4 linked regions of the Mus musculus genome follow. The protein of the gene in region 2 interacts with the protein of the main gene of each other region in a pairwise test. Links are inferred from orthologs where the notes say so. Each region holds a gene or a part of one and is shown on either strand. Other genes may lie near its edges. The genes, in order: Tsr2, Pias2, Ccndbp1 and Nav2.

Evidence for each region.
Region 1: the proteins of Pias2 (region 2) and Tsr2 interact in binary tests that used the Homo sapiens proteins (3 or more experiments, as listed by UniProt). The two-hybrid records come from large-scale screens. The link is inferred for Mus musculus from reciprocal best matches to the Homo sapiens genes PIAS2 and TSR2.
Region 3: the proteins of Pias2 (region 2) and Ccndbp1 interact in binary tests that used the Homo sapiens proteins (3 or more experiments, as listed by UniProt). The two-hybrid records come from large-scale screens. The link is inferred for Mus musculus from reciprocal best matches to the Homo sapiens genes PIAS2 and CCNDBP1.
Region 4: the proteins of Pias2 (region 2) and Nav2 interact in binary tests that used the Homo sapiens proteins (3 or more experiments, as listed by UniProt). The two-hybrid records come from large-scale screens. The link is inferred for Mus musculus from reciprocal best matches to the Homo sapiens genes PIAS2 and NAV2.

The regions. Positions count from the first base shown.
Region 1 is NC_000086.7:151,092,783-151,099,239, forward strand, and holds the start of Tsr2 (pre-rRNA-processing protein TSR2 homolog), read right to left. Parts: upstream 3,762-6,457; 5' UTR 3,731-3,761; coding exon 3,647-3,730; intron 3,474-3,646; coding exon 3,383-3,473; intron 1-3,382. UniProt on the Homo sapiens protein: May be involved in 20S pre-rRNA processing.
Region 2 is NC_000084.6:77,130,182-77,136,092, reverse strand, and holds part of Pias2 (E3 SUMO-protein ligase PIAS2), read right to left. Parts: intron 3,003-5,911; coding exon 2,842-3,002; intron 2,160-2,841; coding exon 2,026-2,159; intron 314-2,025; coding exon 142-313; intron 1-141. UniProt on the Homo sapiens protein: Functions as an E3-type small ubiquitin-like modifier (SUMO) ligase, stabilizing the interaction between UBE2I and the substrate, and as a SUMO-tethering factor.
Region 3 is NC_000068.7:121,006,951-121,011,207, reverse strand, and holds the start of Ccndbp1 (cyclin-D1-binding protein 1), read right to left. Parts: upstream 2,801-4,257; 5' UTR 2,699-2,800; coding exon 2,599-2,698; intron 2,491-2,598; coding exon 2,431-2,490; intron 2,166-2,430; coding exon 2,086-2,165; intron 1,382-2,085; coding exon 1,300-1,381; intron 1-1,299. Other genes in the region: Tmem62 (transmembrane protein 62 precursor), read right to left, coding at 4,063-4,257. UniProt on the Homo sapiens protein: May negatively regulate cell cycle progression. May act at least in part via inhibition of the cyclin-D1/CDK4 complex, thereby preventing phosphorylation of RB1 and blocking E2F-dependent transcription.
Region 4 is NC_000073.6:49,604,683-49,609,293, forward strand, and holds part of Nav2 (neuron navigator 2), read left to right. Parts: intron 1-2,013; coding exon 2,014-2,139; 3' UTR 2,140-4,611. UniProt on the Homo sapiens protein: Possesses 3' to 5' helicase activity and exonuclease activity. Involved in neuronal development, specifically in the development of different sensory organs.

The sequences.
Region 1 (6,457 bases), on a different chromosome or scaffold from region 2:
TCTCTTTTCCAAACCCCCTCTATTGATACTCTCTTTTTCTCTGACCATTGCCATTGTCCTACGTTAGACATTATTTTCTTTTTTCTTTTTAAGATTTATTTATTATATGTAAGTACACTGTAGCTGTCTTCAGATGCACCAGAAGAGGCCATCAGATCTCATTACGGGTGGTTGTGAGCCACCATGTGGTTGCTGGGATTTGAACTTCGGACCTTCAGAAAAGCAGTCGGGTGCTCTTACCCACTGAGCCATCTCACCAGCCCCCTAGACATTATTTTCTATACTAACTACTTTCTGAATTTTCTAGCTAGCAAACACTACTTACTTACCTTAGAACCTGCTCATGAATTTTATCACCTATTGTGAAGCTTGCCTTTAGGAAATATTTTGCTGAGTTTCAGGGTTTTGTTTTTATAACAGGTATGTAGCCCAGGCTAGCATCAAACTCACTATATAATACAGGGTTAGCCTGGAATTCCTCCTGGTAATTGATTATCCTCCTTCCTTCACCTCCCAGTGCTAAGATTACAGGCATGAATCACTATGCCTGGTTAATGTGGCTCTAGGGATTGAACCCTGGACCTCTTATGTTAGATAAATACTCTACCAATTGTGTTACATTCCCAGCTCAATTTTGCTGAGTTTTACGGGAAGATCTCCATAAAAAGCTAATGGAAAACAGAGTCAGGACTGATGGCACACACCTATATAACCCTGCACTCAGGAAAATGAGGCATGAGGAACATAAATTCCATGGCAGCCTGAGCTATAGAAGGAGATACTGTCTCCAATTACTACTACTACTACTAGGAATAAAATAGCAGCTGGAAGAAAAAAGCTTCTATAATTTGACTGGAGAAACATTTTCTTCATTGAATATCTAACGAGACAAGTCTTTTATAGCTTGAATTTTACAGACACTGGCTTTCTATCTCTATAAGCAAAGTCACAGAAGGCCTTTTATCTCTTACCCTTTAGTCAGTGTCTCTGTACACACACACACACACACACACACACACACACACACACCATTCTCTACCACTCTTCCATCCCCTTAATATAATGCACTTAACTCCTTTGAGTACATGCTTTATCATCTCTACCTAGTTTCCCCCTTTTCATTCCTTAGGCCTCACTCTAATCGCTACTCTTAAGAAGGCCTCTTACTGACCAGTGGTGGCGCGCACACCTTTAATCCCAGCACTTGGGAGACAAGAGACAGGTAGATCTCGGAGTCTGAGGCCAGCCTGGTCAACAGAAGAGTTCTAGAATAGTCAGTGCTACATAGCGAAACCCTGTCTCAAAAAAAAAAAAAAAAAAAAAAAACCCAAAAAACAAAAATCAAATCAAAAAGGCTTCTCCTCAGGCTCAGTTAACTGAAGAATTCTGAGCTCCTCTTTAGCATAACACACACCACCCAGTATTTTAACTATTCATTTACTTACCTGAAATCACTCACTAGATTGTAAATGTTGAGCTGTGAATCTGCCTAATACCATCCTCAAAACTAGGATATTGGGGGCTGGAGAGATGGCTCAGTGGTTAAGAGCACCAACTGCTCTTCCAAAGGTCCTGAGTTCAAATCCCAGCAACCCCATGGCGGCTCACAACCATCTGTAAAGGGATCTGATGTCCTCTTCTGGTGTGTCTGAAGACAGCTACAGTGTACTCATATAAATAAAATAATCTTTAAAAAAACCTAGGATGTTAATGAAGAGTTAAAAAAAAACAGCATGCAATACTCTAAGTCCTCTTGTTCTTTTATACCCCACCAAGACAAAATGGAAGTGTAGAACTTTTGTGTAGAAGCAGCAGCATGTGCTTATCGAGCACAAGCACTTAGAATGTGGCTGGTCACAAATGAGACGTACTAAGACTTTTAAAATTCCAGATTGTGCCGGGCGTGGTGGCGCACGCCTTTAATCCCAGCACTCTGGAGGCAGAGGCAGGTGGATTTCTGAGTTCAAGGCCAGCCTGGTCTACAGAGTGAGTTCCAGGGCAGCCAGGGCTACACAGAGAAACTCTGTCTTGAAAAACCTAAATAAATAAATAAACTCCAGATTGTGAAATTTAATACTAAAAGTGAAAAATGCTTAATTCTTATGACATACTAAAATATTTTGGAAGAGGATTTTTGTTGTATTTATTTCATGTGCATGTTGTTTTGATTGCCTGTGTGTGCACTGTGTGTACCTGGTGCCCAGATAAGGACAGAAAGATGATATCAGAACCCCTGGAACTGGAGTCATAGATAACTATGAGATACCATGTAGGTGCTGGGAACGGAACCGAGGTCCAATGCAAGAACAAATGCTCTTAACTGCTGAGCCATCCTTTCAGCCCTGTGTTACTTATTTGTTAATTACATGTATGTGCATGCACATGTGTACAGATGAGGAACATTTTGGATCCTCTGGCGCTGGAGTTACAGGTGGTTGTGAGCTGAGAACCCAACTCAGGTTAGGAAGAGCAGGACGCACTTTTAACAGCTGAACATTTCTCCAGCCCCTTCTTTTATCATAAGGACAACTTGGGGATATGGAGCTTGAAACTTAGAGCAATTCCCCTGTCTCCGTCTCCCTGGTGCTAGAATCACAAACATGGCCCATATGCTAGACCTTGGATATGAATTTAATAACACTATAATATTTGCTTCTTTCATTCATTTATTCATTTGTGGTAGTATGAGTAGTGTAGAGCCTCACATGTGTGTAGTAAGCAAGCACTTCCATTGAGCTATATCTCCAAGTCTTTATATTATTTTTATTATGAGACAAGGTTGTGGTGAATCTGAACTTGAGGTCCTTTTGCATCAGGAATATGAGAGTACATGCCTGCACCACAGGGCCTGGCTGCCTTTTATTTATCAGAGGTACTGCTTTTAGTTTTGGTGGCACCAGGGTTGGAGCCCAGGGACACGAGCAGACTAGGAAAGTGCTCTACCACTGGGCTACACTCCTCACCCAACAATTTTAAAATTATATTTACTTGTGTAGGGAGAATCAGAGGACACCTTAAGCGTGTACCAGTTCTCTCCTTCCATGTTGTCCCAGCTATGAAATTCGGACTGTTATGCTTGTTGGCCTTTGTCCACGGAGCTGTCCCCCACCCCTCATCCAGCAATTTTAAGTTACAAGATATGACTCGAATAGTTCTTTTCGTCGGATCTTTCCATAACCATTTTAGAAAGTAGGAAAATGACTCTCTGGAAGGCAAAATGCGTTCTCCAGCATAATAGCATTTGAGTGTCATTGCCTCTAAGGCACTCTAAAGACACAATTCTGATCTCAAAGTCACGATTCATTCATCAAACGCGGGCTCTCTACGTCGAGGCTCTGCCACGCCACACTGCGACAGACAGCAACACCTCACATTCACTCACCATTGGCGATGAAGTAATCCTCCACTGCACCCCCTAGCCACTCGGCCTTCTCCTGGCTGTGCACGCCCCCGAAGCCATTCTCCACAGCGATCTGTGAACACAGGCCCAAGCCAACCATGACAGCATGGAAACCAGAACGGCGTGGCCTGCCGGGGCCTGGGAGTCTGCCGCTTACACCGCCCAGCCATGGCTCTGGCGCCTCGCCTGGTCAACTTCTATTTTGTCACAGCCTTAATCGTGACCCCCCGCCAGGACCTCACTTACCTGTAAAGCAGGCCAAGCCTCCAGCGCAGCTCGGACTGCAGCTCCGAAGAGCACACGCACATCTTCAGCGGCGCCCGCCATCATCCGTTTAGATCACGTGGCTCCCAGGCAGCCCAATCGCTAGGGCGACCTCACCAGGCAAAAGGAGCCAAAAGCCGATTCTCAGAACGTGGTTTAGTTTTCTGCCAATCTGGCTGGCAGCAAGACCAGAACAGTGGGAAACGCCATCAGTGGTAGATGCTACCACTTACCACAGTAAATCCTAATAATTAAAGGAGAACCTGGAGCAGAGTACTTAGGAAGCATAGCTGAAATAAAGAGGAAAGGAGAAAAGAATAGCGAGGGCGAGAAAACCTACATTTGCGAGGCTCAGCAGATAAAGGCAATTGCCTCCAAGCCTGAAGAACTGAGTTCAGTCCCTGAGCCCTACAGGATGGAACTAGAGAACCGATTTCTGCAATTTCCTCTCACCTCCACATGTGTTACACGGCATTCACAGGCGCAGGCACTCCCACACACAATAAATAAATGTAATTTTAATTTTTTAAAAATAATTATTTTATATATGTGAGTACACTGTCACTGTCTTCAGAGACACCTCAGAAGAGGGCATCGGATCCAATTGCAGATGGTTTTGAGCCACCATGTGGTTTCTGGGACTTGAACTCAGCTCAGGACCTCTAGGAAGAGCAGTCAGTGCTCTTAACCGCTGATCCATCTCTCCAGCTCCAACAATTCATTCTTGAGTCAAATATGAGTGACCATGTCCAGGATTCAGGTTGTCCAGAAAGATATTTTCTTTTGTGGAAGTGGTCAAATGACATTTTAGTAGTTACAGAACAAAGAAAGTCCTAAGTCAAAGCATTTACTAAATCTATTGATAGAGACTACAGGTAGTGGGATGAGGAAATTTCTGCTTAGGTTTCAGATACTGTCTGATGACATTCTTAGCTTTTGGATTCATAGATGCTCGCTGTTAAGTATGTATTTGAAAAGTTGTGATAACCACGAGATTTCTCGTTCAGATTCAAGGGAAGACAAGGAATTGTTTTCAATGGGATTAAAAGTAGCTCAAGGTCATTTGTCTCTCCTCTGTAACATTTTTACTCACCCCAACCACAAAGCTCCGTCATTTGGTCCTATAGAACGGTCCATACAGATGTACCTGTTCTTTTCTCTAGGAACTTCAGTTTCCACTGTGTAGCCATGTCTGGTATTGGACTCTTACCACACTCTCCTAAATTCTAGGACTAATCACACACCACCACACTTAGCACAGAATATAGATTTTTCTGAAGTTCACAAGAACATTCTCCAAGACACACCATGTAGTATTCCACACAACAGCGTTTAGTATGTTTTAAGGACTAAGGGCTGATAATGTTTCTATCTACCTTGCCAGCATACTGGGGTCCTGGAGTTTCATCCCAAGACCACAAAAGAAAAAAAAAAAAAAAAGAAAGACTGCAAAGCAAAATTAGAAATTAGTAAGAGAAAGAAACATGTGAAATCCATAAATTTGTGTAACCTTATGGACTCTATTTTATGGAAATAGGTCAAAGGACAAAAACAAAGGGAAATTGGAAAACACTATGAAATGAACCTTGAGTGTTGTAGCTGAAGTACTTAGGGGACACATTTTTAGCTTGCAACAAAAATGTTTGAGCTGTAAATATTTAGAAAGAGCCCATGGGGGAGATACAGCCCACCACTGCCCTCAGCAGTCTGAGGAGTTCTGTCCTCCTTCAGGTAAAGCCAGGCCTTTGATTACACTGCAGGAAAGAGGTTCAGGATAAGCCAGCATTGTGATATGATCATCCAGTGTTATCTGATTGTTAGGATCATTATGATATATGATAAGCAAAGTTAATGAGATTTAACTACAAGCGTTTAGAGAACACATTAAGCTCTGTAAGCATTTAGAAAAAGGAACAGTTAGCAAAGGAAGCATTTGTTCTGCTAAAGGAACACACAGCAATAAAATGACACCTAATGACAGTCTCCTATACCGGTAGATCAGTGCCTCTTTCAGCCACCATCAGAGAAGCTTCCTCTTGCAGAAGCCGGGAACCAACATAGAGACCCACAATGTATTGAGAGTGAGAAGCTCTGGTCTTAAATGGAATGTATTCATGAAAGCCCTCTTCAGAATCCCACAGAGGAGAAGGTGGAAAAGATTGTAAGGGCCAGAAAAGATGGACGACATGAAGGAAATAAGGCCTTCTAAATGCAAGAGGACTGATGCACACAGGAACTCACAGAGACTGTGGCAGCATGCACAGGGCCTGCAGCAGCGTAAACCAGATGTGGCTCCCGTGCTTAGAAGGGAGGTAGATGCAAGCCCCCATCCTTAATCCGGAAGGTACCTCCAGTTAACTGATTGAAAAGGGGAAAAACTAGTTTTCTCACTGGGGATACAAACCACTCTTACAGGCAGGCTCTACACGCAGCAGTAGATAGCCAACAAAAACTGGACTCAATGGTATTTTTGTAGACTTCATCTGGTGTTGCTTTGTTTGAGCTTTTTTTTTTTTTTTTTGTCTACTGGCCTTTTGCTTGTATACTACAGTTTCTGATTTTGTGGTTTGTGGGTTTTGTTTTGTGTGTCTGTGTGTCTATGTATTTCCCAAGCTTTTTCTTTGTTTTTTTTTTTTTTTTTTTTTTTTTTCGAGACAGAGTTTCTCTGTGTAGCCCTGGCTGTCCTGAAACTCACTCTGTAGACCAGGCTGGCCTGAACTCAGAAATCCTCCTGCCTCTGCCTACTGAGTGCTGGAATTAAAGGCGTGTGTCACCACTGCCCAGCTGTTTTTA
Region 2 (5,911 bases):
GCTTTCTTGAAGTATTTCAACTGTACCAAAGCAGATGAAAATTGCTTTCTATAGTTACTTCTCACACAGATATTTCAAAACCATCCCAAGAACAATTCATTTCAAGTACAATGAACAGTAGTGAACTATAAATCGACAAACCCTTTGGTTGGACTGCTTTGTGTTTCTGACATAAAGATGCATTTCCTTTTGGCGGGAGGGTCTTCCTCTTCATCAGAAGAGCTCTCTATTGTTAGATCAATAACATCTATCTTCTTCTTGCTTGCATCACTGGCTACAGTCACTGAACAAGGTTTACTAAAGACACTTGAACCTGGATGGAAATAAACAGGGGGACAAAAAAAGAAATATCAAAGAATTAACAAAAACTAGCTATAGAAGTCTTAAATATGTGCATATATACATGAAAATACACAGCTAAGGAAACCATATTCTCTAGCAGGGACTAACTCAACATAAGTGAGGACTGCCAGGGCTATTCCTGACAGAGGTCAGAAGCCCCCTTCACAGCATGCTCTCTCCAGCACTATCAGTGGGTTACTACAGAACCTGGGGCTACTCATGTTGTCTTTCTAGGTTAGCAATCCGTGTACAGACAGAACATGAGGGTTAGACAACTGGCCTTATCCCGTGGGACAAGAGTATAGAATGTGACCAGCTCTGCACTGTCATCATACACGTGTGGCAGTATTGAGTATGCAGTGTCAGTAGCTGCATGTTTCTATATGCGGCACCGCTGAGTTAGAGACAGACATTTCAACTCCAGTGGTCGTATAAAAGTCACAAGCTGGTAAACAAAGCTACTATGGCATGAATCATCTAGTCACTACTCATTCAGTCTATACAAGCAATCACATTTATCATATTATATAACATTATTCTCTATAACCTACCACAAAAAAATGAATGCTATTTCATTAGGGAAAAACCATCAGACATAAATCAATAAAACCATACCTGCCCACACTTTACACTAATGTGGACAACCCATGCAATGTGACTCCTAAGAGTTCGAGCAATCACAAGAGAACAAGTAACAGAGTACTTGCTCAATTCAACAGAGCCAGAAGAAAATCAAAGGAAATGAGTCCAGAGGTTGCATGTGCACATGGACTTCAACTTACCAAACTCCTTTAGCAGGGCCCTTCAGTGCAGATAGCTAAAGGAGCTAAAAGTAAGTACACACGCTGGGTAACTAAAGCTATAGAATCCCTACACCAACAAATGGAAGAATCTGCTCAGTAACAGCTAATTCATGACCAGTCTCCACACTGATTAATAAATGATATATATGGCCGCTCCAACCACAATAGGTTCTATAAAGATATACAAAACAGTTCCTAATCCTTCTGTCTCTCAAGTGTGCTTCTGTGCAATGGCATGCATGTGAAGGACGGGTTAATATCAAGCATCTTCCTCAACTGCGCGCCACTTAAAGGTCTCACTGCACCGATTTCCTTACTTAAGTCTAGTTTAGTGGTTCTCAACCTTCTTACTGCTGGGACACTTTACTACAATTCCTCATGTTATGGTGGCCCCCAAACATAAAATTACTTTTGTTGCTACTTCATAACTGTAATTCTACGATGATTTGCAATATACATATCTGTGTTTTCCAATGGTCTTAAGTCAACCACTGTGAAAAAGTCACTCCACCCCCTCAAGGGGGTCAGCACCCACCCACAGGTAGATAACGGGATGCCCTACGGATTCCTGTCTCTGCCTCCAGAGGACCAGGATTACACAAAGGCCACCCATGGCCCGCCCCATCCGTAACTCAGGGCTGAACTCCAGGCTTCATGCTATCTATACCCATCCTCAAAGCCTTCTAACTTCTCTGTTTTGTACATGAAACACCATTTAAAAGCTTGAAGAATGGTATATAAATTAGCACATTCCTTAAGAAAATGAGGAAGGATGAATGACCTAAAGTTAGCAAACTAAATTCTGAATATAGTCCTAGTAGTTAGAGTTTATACTTCATAATTTATACTGCTTTGAACGTTCCTGACATTCAATACATACTTTCTACTTTTGTACAGGGCTGGCTGGTTACTTTCATAGCTTCTTTTTTAGGTCTCATGGGACACCAAGAACCATCTTCCTGGAATTTGATCTCATCCACATCAGAACAGTCATTGAGAATTTCCATAAAAAGCCTGTAAAGTACATAAATGTCATAAAAGTCAATGATGAAATAAGAAAATAGTATACACTGAAGTCAAAGTAACAGTCTGACCTAAAAAGGCCACTGGAACTTCACTTATTTAACATTCCATGACAATTATAATTCCTCTCTATGGGAGGGAGATAAAGAGATGGATGGGAGGGTAGAGGATGAGCACAAAGGACAGGAATAGAAATCAGGGCCTACCACTGCACACACACAGACTTTGGCACACATATATACACATAATTAAAAATCAAATCTTTAACAAAAAGGAAGACCTAACTTATTAAATCAATTCATACAATTTTCCCAATTCTAATATAAACAATGTAAGAAATCACATTTAGAACTTAACTCCAGAGCCAGAATAACCTACACACAAACTACAGCTTCAAACTTAGCACCTATGTAATATGACTGCATTTATAAGGTACACATAACTACTTAATACTTTGTAGGGTCTCACTATATACTACACACACACACACACACACACACACACACACACACACACACACACACAAATCCAACTAGTCTTAAACTGAGATCTACTTGACTCTGTCTCCTGAGTGATAGAATTAAAAATGTCCCCTACCCCACATCAGCAGTAGCCTGCTTGTTTTCCTCCACTTATTCTATTTCTCTAACTGTTTGCCCAGAGTTACACTTACCCATCTAGTATCAGACTCTCATAGGCAGCCTTTTTGTCACAAACAGGACAGATCCAGGTGGGCTTTTTCTCATTCATCTGAAGATAGAGGGCAGCATCAAAGCACTGCAGATGTGTACAAGTCACTGCACGGCACGGGATTGTCAGCCTCATTTTTCCTAACTACAGAACAGAGAATACAGCAGCAATGAGTTCAAATAGGACAAGAGAACCTACAGGAGAAAAGGTGCTCATTAGAGTCTTAACAAGTCAAACAGGATGTTCAAAATAAAAAGCTCCAGCCTGCCGGGCGGTGGTGGTACATACCTTTAATCCTAAGCACTTGGGAGGCAGAGGCAGGTTTCTGAGTTTGAGGCCAGCCTGTTCTACAGAGTGAGTTCCAGGGCTACACAGAGAAACCTTGTCTCGAAAAAAACCAAACCAAACCAAACCAAACCAAAAACAAAAAAAACCCTCCAGCCTAAATTTACTCTCGTGAAGCTGTTTATCTTTTTATTTATGGGTGGTTTCAAATTTTTTGAAAGATCATTTTACTTCAATAATATCTAAGTTCAAAGGCAGAGAAACACACACACACACACACACACACACACACACACACACACACAAAATTAATGATGCTTTGAAAACAAAGCTGCATAAAGATAACTAAATAAAGGCCAGGCAATGGTGATGCACTCTTTTAATCCCAGCACTTGGGAGGCAAAGGCAGGAGGATCTCTATGAATTCAAGGCCAGCCTGGCCTACAGAGTAAGTTTTAGACCTGGAATTCCAAGGCTACACAGAGAAACCCTGTCTGGAAAAACTCCAATAAAATAAAATAACTCAACAGCAGCAGGTCTACTAAAGCTCAGTGCATTGATATTTTAGCCCAATCTGTCAGCAACTGTTGGAAACAAAATTGGAATAATTATCAGAATAAAAGCTTTATTCCTGTTCTACTAGTGACCCTTTGATTTGAGCTATCCAACCTCAGTCAGTTTCTTATTTTGCAAAATAAAAATGATACCTCCCTCAGGGTTTGTTGAAACATTTACACATAATGGAAACTCAAAAGTTATTTTCTTTCCCAATCCCCCCACCTGATAATTACTTTCTCTCAATTTTAAAAAAAAAAAAAAAAAAAGCACATTTCACATTGGTAGCAATCATCAAACGTCATCCAAAGCTACACTAGAAATGCGTTATTCACAGCTTTCCTCATAAAAGTTCTCTTTCTTCCACAAACTGATTTAAAGAAACTTTCACACAGGAAAAATATGGTGAATGATGTTCAACTACAATGTAAATAAAAACAACAGCTATACTACAAGAATGGAATTTAAGGGAAGAGTCTTTAGCAGGAGCAAAGAAGACCATTTTGTTCTCAAAAAGGAAGCAGTTTTCAAGATGATATAATTATAAAGTTCTAAGTATCTAACAATTTAGGTTTGACTATATTAACACAAATATAACTCATGAAATTATGACAAATAAAGTCTTATATTGAGAATTTAGATGAAATGTGCTGCTGTTTCTAAATGTTTCTGTTTATGTTCCTGAAATAGAAACAGGAATAGAAAGACAGGAGTAGATTTCAATAACCATCAAAGTAGGTACCACAGTCATATCTTTTTATGAATTTATGTTCAAAGAAGACATAATCTCTCTCTAGTCATAGTCTATCTCATAGAAACCGTAAGTGAAGGTGAACAAGATACTCCCGTGAACACACCTTTACTTCCCTAAACCTAATCTCATTGATCTTTTATCTAATAGTAATTCAAACTTTTAGAGGAGGGGGAGGGGGGTGCTGATAAAGCGGCTTTCCACACGTGTCATGGACTCCTGACATAAACAGTCACTACAGGTTTTAGTCATGCAGTGACTATATACTTGCTTTACATAAAATTAACTTAATTGAATTAAAATGTTTTGCTTTGCTTCTGGTGAGGGTTGGGGAGGAGTCAGTTTTCTTTAAGGAACTCACTACCTGGGAGTTTGACCCTGCTCCAATGAGTCTATGTACAGCACAAATTGGACTTGATAGTTTTGGTGGGTGACTCAAGGGTGGATCTGGGAGGAATAAAAAGTGAGTGGGATTGGAGGACACTGTATGAATGTTAGGAAAAAATCTTTTGTTTCTGCTTATGTTACTTAATATATATTAATCATTACATTTTATTACCTAGCTATAACTAACATAAATTGACCCTTTAAAAGGCCAATTCATTTATTTGTAAATATTTTTGAGTTTCTGTTGTATGTAGTCATTCTCCTAGGTATGTGGAATAAATTATTGAATAAATAAAACAATAAATCCCTAAAAAAAAAGGAGGGGGGGAAGAAACGTTAACTATTCCTGACATTTCTCAATCCCTATCATTAGGTACAGTCGGCTACTTTTTCACGGGCTGTGTCCTCTAACTGAATTGTCTACTTTCTCTCAGTTAGCTTGGTGCCAACAACACATTATATAGAAGGGTCTCAGGTCTGCTAATGACTTCTCACCCACATGTCTATGTAAGAATATAGGAAATAAACATTTTGTGTAGTTTAAAAGTGCATTGCAAAGACAGCCCATACATCATAACTCATTGGGCCAAAACCATCAATTAGCATTTATTAGACTCCAGTAATGTTACTGCTATTTATAGTATTAGATGCACTCTGAAAAAAGCTCTTAATTATTAACCTGCATTATTTCACAACATCAATGACGATAGTTTTCTGAGCCTAAGGTTTTGTACTCTTATATAACAATTTTGTACATTCATTCTTCAGAACCATTTAAAGAATACCAAAAAAACAAGCCAGGTGCAGTGGTGCTGGCCTTTAACACCAGCACTTGGAAGGCAACCACAGGCAGATCTCTGTGAGCTCGAGGCCAAGCTGGTCCACAAAGCATGTTCCAGGACAGCCAGAGCTGGTACACAGGGAAACCATGTCTTGGGAAAAAAACAAAAAAAAAAAAACAAGAAACAAATAAAAGAATACAAAAAACCCTTAACACTTAATATCTACATGGAAAAGACAAAAAGTTTAGAATTCTCCCAGTACTCTTCCATTCACCCCACCCTCACTCTTCTAC
Region 3 (4,257 bases), on a different chromosome or scaffold from region 2:
ATGCCGGCCCTTTGATAATTGTGAGCAAAACACTGGCCGTGTAAAGCATGTGTTAGTAACCCTGATAAACTATGTTATGCTTTCATTGATTCTCTCTGTAGAGCTTCAGTGACGCCATAAATCTATGGGCCAGGGTATGCTAACTTGTGAAGGGGTTTGCAATAGGTTATGATGTAATGCTAGGTGGAGGAGGGTCGGGATGGCCTGGGTATGGGTATGGAGCTGGGATCCAGCAAACAAATGTAGGAATTAGAATGGACTAAAAAGAAGAGGAACTTGGGGGTGTGGGTATGAGGGACTTTTGGGATAGCATTGGAAATGTAAACGAGGAAAATACCTAATTTAAAAAAAAAAAAAAAAAAGAAGAGGAATGAGGAGCTGAAAAGACGGCATATTTGGGAAAATGCCAGCTACATAACCATGATGTCTTGAGTTCAGTTCCCAGAACCTACGTGAGAAAGGCCGACACACTCAAGTGTTCCCATGATGCCAGTGCAGGGAGAGCAGAGCTAGGAGGCTCCCTGGGGAATCAGTGAACTCCAAAACCACAAGACATTGGCCTCCATGTGTACTCATATACACATGCATAAGTACCTGAATGAACACGTGCAACTTCATACATCACAGACACAAATAATAGATGATTTTTTTTTATAAAGGGTCAGTTGAGGGGCTGAAGACATGGCTCAGCACTGAAGAGAACTTAGTGTCTTCCAGAGGACCCAGGGCCAAGTTCCACAACCCACACAGCAGCACACACACTGTAACTTCAGTTCCAGGGGACCCAACACCCTCTTCTGACCTCAGCAGGGACCACATACATGTGGTACACAGACACACATGCAGACAAAGCACCCATACCCATAAAATAAAAAAAAAAAAATGTAACAGCCAGTTGAGATGGCTCAGCAGGTAAAAGCACTTGCTGCACACGCCTGATGATCTGAGTTGAATCCCAGGAACCCACGGTAGAAGGAGAGAGCCCATGTGTGTACCTGCACACACACACACACACACACACACACACACACGATGGAAAGTCACAGTTACATAGCATCTGTACCTTCACATAAGGGAGTGTCACAAAACTCACTCACATATAAAATTATCTTCGATTTTATTTCACAGGAAAGTCACATGCTCAAAATGAAGAGAAACAAACATGGATAATATACTTACGTATAAATATATAATATTACCCTGAAGATAAACATATAATGTTTACATGTCAGGATATAGTCTACTACCTTAGCAAAGCCCTAGCCCATGAATACAACACTACCGTGTACGGTCACTTACCCTGGTCCTTAGGAAGTGAATAATACACTATAATTATTTCCTCGATGGCAATACGGACTTGCTCACAGATCCTCTGGGTTTCCTATGAGGTGATGGACCAAATTCAGAAAGAATGTTTAACATCAATGCTGTCAACTCATTTACTAAGGAAGAGACCAAACATCTATAGAGCATGGTTAAATCTTTTATGAAAACTCGTCATGAGTCAGGTCTTATAATGTACTCACCACACAATAGAAAGAAATTAGGTAGACACCTGACAATTATAAAAAGCATTACAAAAAGAAGGACAGCCTTGGCTGTCCTGGAACTTGCTCTGTAGACCAGGCTGGTCTTGAACTCAAGAGAGCAGCCAGCCCCTGCCTCCTTAAAGTGCCGGGATTAAAGGTGTGTACCACCAGCAGCAACAGCAACATCTTAACACTAAAGGGTTTTATATAACAGGTGCTGCTTAGATACTGCAAAGACATTTAACTCCTCCTCTGCTATTTATTGACCTGAGCCTCTAAACCTGCTTACTCATTGGTCAGATGGGGAATATGTATGTGAAACAGCTATAAATCAACAAGGAAAGTTGAAAGTTAAGAGGAACTAACCTGGCTGAGTTTCAGCCTAAATTTAGAAGACCTTTCTAACCCTATGCACCTGGCTATTTACAACAATCCCATGTGGTAAGAACTGTAACCTCGCTTGCTAAGTGGGGGAAATAAGTGTGGCTTGAATGTGAAGGGTAAGAAAACGGGAGGATTCTTAAGGAGAAAATAACCCTCCGGAAGCAAAGCTCACCTGTGGAGATGGCCATGGAAGTTTAGAGAAGTGCGTTGTCAGAACAGTGGCTTCCCCGTTCACTTTCACTGCTGCCTCATCTGGGGGTGTCAGAGGCGGCAGGGGGCCAAAGTTAGTGTTAAAAGGTTAAAGTTACTACTTGGACTTTTTAGATAACGCGTCCCTTTTCCACCCTAATCAACATCTCCAAAACAACTCCAGAAATCGTTTTATATTTCTGCTTCAAGTGCGGAGAATGGGTGGGAGAAGGGATGAGGACCAGAGACATTGTCATCTCAGGGGACAGCAGAGGGAAGGTTAGGATGCAGGGAGATGAGGGAAGAGCCCGCAACGGCAGACACTCACTGAGTCTTCTCCAAAACATTTCTCGATTAAATTCCTCCGCTGTCTCCTGGGCTTCGCCGACTTGAGGAAGGCCGGATCACCCCGAAAGCAAAAGACAGGTGAGAGGAGCCCTGACCTGATGCCCTACATCCCTACCCGGAGCCCGGGATGCAGATTCCCATAACTCACCCCGTACTCGAGGCAGAAGTGACCGTAGCTCCTCTGCTAAGTGCCGGAGCTGCTCCAGAGGCGGAGCAAGGAAGGGGACTGCGGCTGTCGAGCTCGCCATCGCAGGCTCTCTCTGGGAACCAGCTAAGACGCTTAAGCCATTTGGCCCCGCCGCAGTACTTCCGGTGCTGAAAAACTCATCTCGTTTCCGGCAACACACAGCGCGTCCCGCCCCTTCCTTCTCAGTGTAGCGACCCCGCCTTCCCAGACAGCCCGGCCATCCGTCCACGCCTCCCCCCACCCCCAGAGACCCGCCCACTCAGGAACAAGACCACGCCTCCCCACTGGAAACCTGCCCACTCCCCGCTGGCCCGGCCTGGAGACCCAGCCACGCCTCCTTCACCTGCCCTCCCCGCAGATCTAGAGACTTTTTCCAGTCCCTGGCTACACCCCACTACCCCTCCCTCCATGACACTAGGCCACTCAAAAGACCCAGCCAGGCATCTTTTGACCTACTAGAGACCTGGCCACTCTTCTATGTAACTGAGCTTTTCCCCTGTAAATATGTCCGTGGCAGTGCCTGCAGAGGCCAGAGAGGGAATCAGATCCCCAGGACCCGGAGTTACACTGTGTGAGTGAAGGGAATCGAACCTGTGACCTTTGGAAGAGCAGCCAGCACTCTTAACTGCTGACTCCAGCTCCCTGGTGACTCTTTCTCCAAGCCCCCAAACCAGGCCCACTTTCTGGCTCCCATATGTTTATCAACATTGCAGATCCGTTTGTGATATTTCTTTGTTAATACTTATCTTTTATTATTTTTTAATCACATGTAAGTCTGTGCACATATGAATGTAGGTGCCCACAGTGGCTCTGGCCTGGAGCTAGAGTTACAGGCAGTTGTGAGCATCTGACATGGTTGCTAGGGATTGAACTCGGGTCTTCTGGAGGTAAAGTACATGCTCTTAACCACTGATCTCTCCAACCCATTGTTTATGGCTACCATTCATTCATTTATTTGATTAGTTGAAAACAACCTTGGCTAAGGAAGCAGAAAGCCCATGATCGGTGGGGAAACAGGCTGGGAAGTCAAGTCTCAGGAGCAGTAAAGGTCCAGGACAAGTTTCCACAGGCTCCCTAGGCAGAAAATGACATCCTGAACTCCAAGTTCGGGCTGGATGCTTTTCACAGGATGACCCTAATAAACACAGTAGTACCAAGGGACACAGTGACACAGAGACCCCACTGTGGCAATCTTCTTGATTAGGGCTCTTTGCCTCCTGAGGAAGAATCAATTGTTAGACTTTTCTGCAGTCCACACAGCAAGAATCAGTAGTAAACATTTCCAACATTCAGATGTCCAAGGAGTGACTGCTTCCTGAAGCTCACCCACTGATACTGGCTTTCCCATCTGCCACAGGGCAGAGATCTGAGCCACAAATGTGGAGGCTGGACTTCTTCCAGGCTGCTAGCTGTAAGCCATGGACTTCAGGAGCTCAGATGACTTTTTAACTGCACCATGAATATTCCAAGTTCAGTGGAGTTCAATGTCCACACACGGTAAATGAGCACAGGTGTCAGCAATGTCAACCAGGTCCTCAATGGAGAGAATGTAAAGGCTAGGGAGCCATATGTCACATGAAGAAAGTAGCAAGAATAAACCTGCCATATGTACAGTAGAAG
Region 4 (4,611 bases), on a different chromosome or scaffold from region 2:
CTCTTGGGGTGTGGGAGATTGGCAAAAGCTTGTTGTGGAAGGCTGGACTCACCCCATTGATAGGGACAGGACGTTCCTCTCTGGTATTTTCTTCCATGGTGTGCATTTCCCGTTTAAGGCCTTTAACTTCACTTGAAGTTGTTCTTGTATAAGGTTGAACGTTCGATGTTTTTATTTCCTTCCCCTTTGAATGTCCTCTGCCCCGCTGTTTGTCCTCTGATTTGAGATGGTACCATTGCCATATACTGTCCTAGAGAGTACTAGGGACTTGGCTCCCAAGCCAGACAATGAGAGGTTTTTAAGACCAGGAGACACAAGCAGAAGGCGTGACAGCCCCAACCCAGGTACCCTGGCTAGTGGGATGAGACTGAACCATGCTTTGCTAAGGGACAAGAGAAACTTAAAAAAGAAAAAAAAAAAAAGAGGAAGACAAACAGACAGACCTTGGGTAGCAATGATAAAGCCCCAATCAATTCTAGACTCATGCATAGCAATGCTGCCAAGTTATACCTCACTCAACAAAAAGCCATAGGAGCTTTTTGGAGGAAGGAAGGAAGTGTGCCCAAGTCCCCCCAGATATGGCTGTCAGCCTGCCTGAAACCCGCCCCTCACTTCTATGGCAGCTGCGACAAAAGTCGGACAAAGAGTATTGCTTGCATTGCATAATGGAGGAACACTCTTCAGAAGGGCGGCAGGGCTGGAAGGCAGCCACATCACCTGTTCTAGCCCTCGTGAGGAGCCAGTGGACTAAATAAATGCCAGCAGGTGACCTCGGTAGTCTGCGTCCTGCCAGTCGCTGCTGCAGCACAGCCACCCCGTGTTGAGGCTGTGAATAGGTGCTGACTAAAAGAATTCAACGCTGCTATCCTGCCCAGGGTCTGAAGGGAATGCCGGATCCAGTAGACATTTCTCAAGGCCAAGGTCATGTGGGTCTTACTGAGGCTAGCAAGGTCATTGCGTCATCCGTCCTGAGATCTGGACTGACTGGGGGTATTCGATAGTGAGTAGCCCTCTCTGCTGCAGAGAATTAACTGCTGTATGGCTGCCAGAGGAGGTTAGGAGGTTAGGCTTGGGTTCTTTCTCCACTTGAGGTAAAGGTGGCAGGCAACAGCTCACACTCTGTCTTAGTTAGGGTTTCACGGCTGTGAACAGACACCATGACCAAGGCAACTCTTAGGACAGCATTTAGTTGGGGCTGCCTTACAGGTTTAGAAGCTTAGTCCAGTATCCTCAAGGTGGGAGCTTGACAGCATCTAGGCAGGCATGGTGCAGGAGAAACTGAGAGTTCCACATCTTCATCTGCAGGCTGTTAGGAGAGTACTGACTTCCAGGCAGCTAGGAAGAGGTTCTTAAAGCCCACACCCACAGCGACACACCTACTCCAAGGCCACATCTTCACGTAGTGCCACTCGCTGGGCCAAACATATTCAAAAGCTTGCTCTGCAGCGGGTGGGCTGTTCTTGAGTGGTCAGCACACCATGTCCTTTGCTCCCCAAGAGATCAGCCCTGCGTCTGGTCCACGCACGGGACAAGGGAGGCTCGGGTGCTTTGGTACGTGGTGTGGCGCATATCCCCTGCACCATGATTGCTCCTGGCAAGCTGCTCCTCCCCCTCCCAAAGGCTGTGGCAGTGACTGAGGCCCTTATGCCTCAGATGTCAAGGCTGCTAGCGACAGCCGTGGGGATGGCATTGGTAGGGTTTTCCACTTAACTCACAGTGTGGCAAATATATTAGCTCATCCCAGACCTCCACATGACGGGCAGGAACTATTGAGTTAAGTTTGAGCAGTAAGGAAATGCCACAGAAAAGGACTAAGTAACCTTTCAAGGTCATGGAAGGGTAAGCAGGGAAGCTGGAATCTGAGCCCAGGACTCTTGTGCTCTTGTCTGCAGCCTCTCTGGTAAGCCCTGACCTGCGGGGTGAGTCTGGAGTAGGTGGCGGGGGCTCCAAAGAGGCCAGGGTGGGCTTCCCAGCCAACTGGCAGGCACTCCAACCCCTCTGCTCTCCCCACAGATGAACATGCTGATGAGGTTGCAGGAGGCGGCCAACTACTCCAGCCCCCAGAGCTATGACAGCGACTCCAACAGCAACAGCCACCATGACGACATCCTGGACTCGTCCTTGGAGTCCACTCTGTGATGGAGACTCCCCCACTCTCCCTCGCTCCATCCCACCCCGCATCCTCCACTTCGTTCTGAAGATGACTTCCTGAGCCAGCCCTGGCTGCCACAGCCTTGAAGCCAGAGCAGAGTAGCGGGAGCAGGAACCCCTCCTCGTCCCTTGCTCTCTGCCCTCGCATGAGCAGCCCAGGACCTCCCCTTCCGACAGTGACAACTGTACTAGCCTCTCTTCTACCCTCATCCTCGTTTTTTTTTTTGCCTTGTTGCCGTGACCTCCGTGAGACACTGAAAATACTTCATGGGAAAGGATCCTCACTGTTGAAATATAAAGGGTTTAAATGGAAATTTTAAACGTAAGATTCCACTTGGTGCCCTGAAACCCAACAGCATCCCTCCACATACTACCCCCCAGACAGAAAAGACTAAACTCAACTTGGAAACACAGACAGCAGGGCTTACTCCCAGCACAGACCCCGCCAGTTTGGGTCTGGCCACCAGCACCCCAGAGCCATGCCACCCACCCTCCATGGAAGAATTGGTGCTAACGAGGGCGCCTGCTTGGAGCGCCACCCAGGGACACCCATACATCACATGTCTCTGTTTTCCACATGGTGCTCGCCTTCCCGAGAGGTATTCTGTCTATTCCAGTGCACCCCTCCCCCTGTTCCCGGCCCATCATCCCTCCCACCCACCCCCACCCCCACCCCCATGATCTGTGAGAGCAAGTGAAGATGCAAGAATGTGAGTGAGCAGATGGGGCTAGCAACACAGAAAAGCGCGCCTGTTTCCTTCGTCTGTCTAAATGGTCAGGTTTCTGTCCGCAAACACTGTGTACTGTACAAGTAGTTCTTTGGAGAACTATCAACCCCTGCCTGTGTCTGCCTTTCTTCCTGGTTGATTGTGAAGGCCCCTTTTCCCCAACCCCCACTCCCTTGACCAGAATTAGTCCTTTGGTGAAAGCAAGAACTAAGTAGAGTTTGCCTCCTCCCTCAGCCTGGGTTTTCAGTGTCCACTGTCACAGTTCTGGGCCCTCGACACCTCCTTCCGGGGTTGTGTGGGCATCCATATCCTTTCAGATAGAGGAGGACTAGTTCTCCTCCTGTGGGTGAGCCATGGACCTCGCCTTTCCTTCTTGTCTCTGAGAGCTGAGAACCCCACAGCATCACCTTGGGCACCCCAGACCCCAGTTGCAGGAGGAGTTGACGATGCCCCCTCACCAAAAGCTGGCACTTTCCTCAGATCCAATGTGACACAGCTTAGCCAGGGAGGGGCGGCCACCCTTCCCAGAAACCCGGCCAGCCGTGCCTCCGTCCCGATGAGCCTTGCCTGACCTCTTCGGTGCTGACCGCCCCCATGCAATGCCTTACTGGTTTTGTGCTGACCGTGTCCATTCACATGAGTGTTGTGCCTGCCTGGGGTTGTGTGTGTGTGTGTGTGTGTGTGTGTGTGTGTGTGTGTGTGTGTGTGTGTGTGTGTGTCTTCCCCATCGAAGTAAACAGGGCTATAAGTCATCTATCCATGAAGAGAACACAAGTTGCCGACCTCTCATCTCAGAGAGTCATCTATGTGGATGTATGATTGGGGGGGGGGGAGGGGGAGGGAGGGAGGGAGAGAGAGAGAGAGAGAGAGAGAGAGAGAGAGATGTTTTTTAGGCTCCTATCGGTCTCCAGCCAACAAATTCACTGGACAGTGACCCCACAAGTCCATTCAACCTTGCAAATTTGTACTCTAGGACACACCCCTCAGTGTGCCATGGCTTCAGCACACTGGTGTCCTCTTCACCGTATGGACATCTTTGAGCTCTTTGTGTTTTATAGAAACTTTCCTGGCCCCACCGAGGGTGTCTCTGTTAACGATCAGGGTTTTTAACCTCATCTTTGATGTTCCATTCTTGAACGTTTGTCTTTTTTTTTTTTTTTTTTTTTCTTACCCTAAGAGCTTGGCCCAAAACTGCTCGCTTTCTTTGGAATGGCACTGATTTTCTTCCTCATTGAAAGGAACAAGAATGTGTCCTGCTAACTGGTAACTAGAAACATTTCCGTTCCCTGCTGTAAGCCCAGACCCAGCCTGCCTTTGCTACTAGTGTGGATGTGAGTGTGTCTTCTGTTGTTTTGTTTGTAATAAAAGTTTCAAACCACGTGTCTAGCCTGTGACCAGGGCCAAACCCTGAGCCTTCCAGTGCCCCTGAAGGGTAGCCCTTCTCAGTCTTGTCTCCCAGCAACGGCCGTACACTCTCATACTGTGAATTTGGGAGGTAGGAAAATCGAACCCCTCCTCAACATAGTTTTCTCAGTCACCTTAGGAGTACACCGCACCAACATTGCTTAAAACTGTTTCCTTAGCAACACCCTCTCCCCACTCTCCACGCCCAGATGTCTCTCCCAGCCCACCCAGGATCGCAACAGCAGCCTGTGTACCCATTGCTGCCTGACTTGGTTCTGTAGCCCCAGAGTGCCTCCTGGCTCAGCCACCTTCCCGAAACACTGGGAAG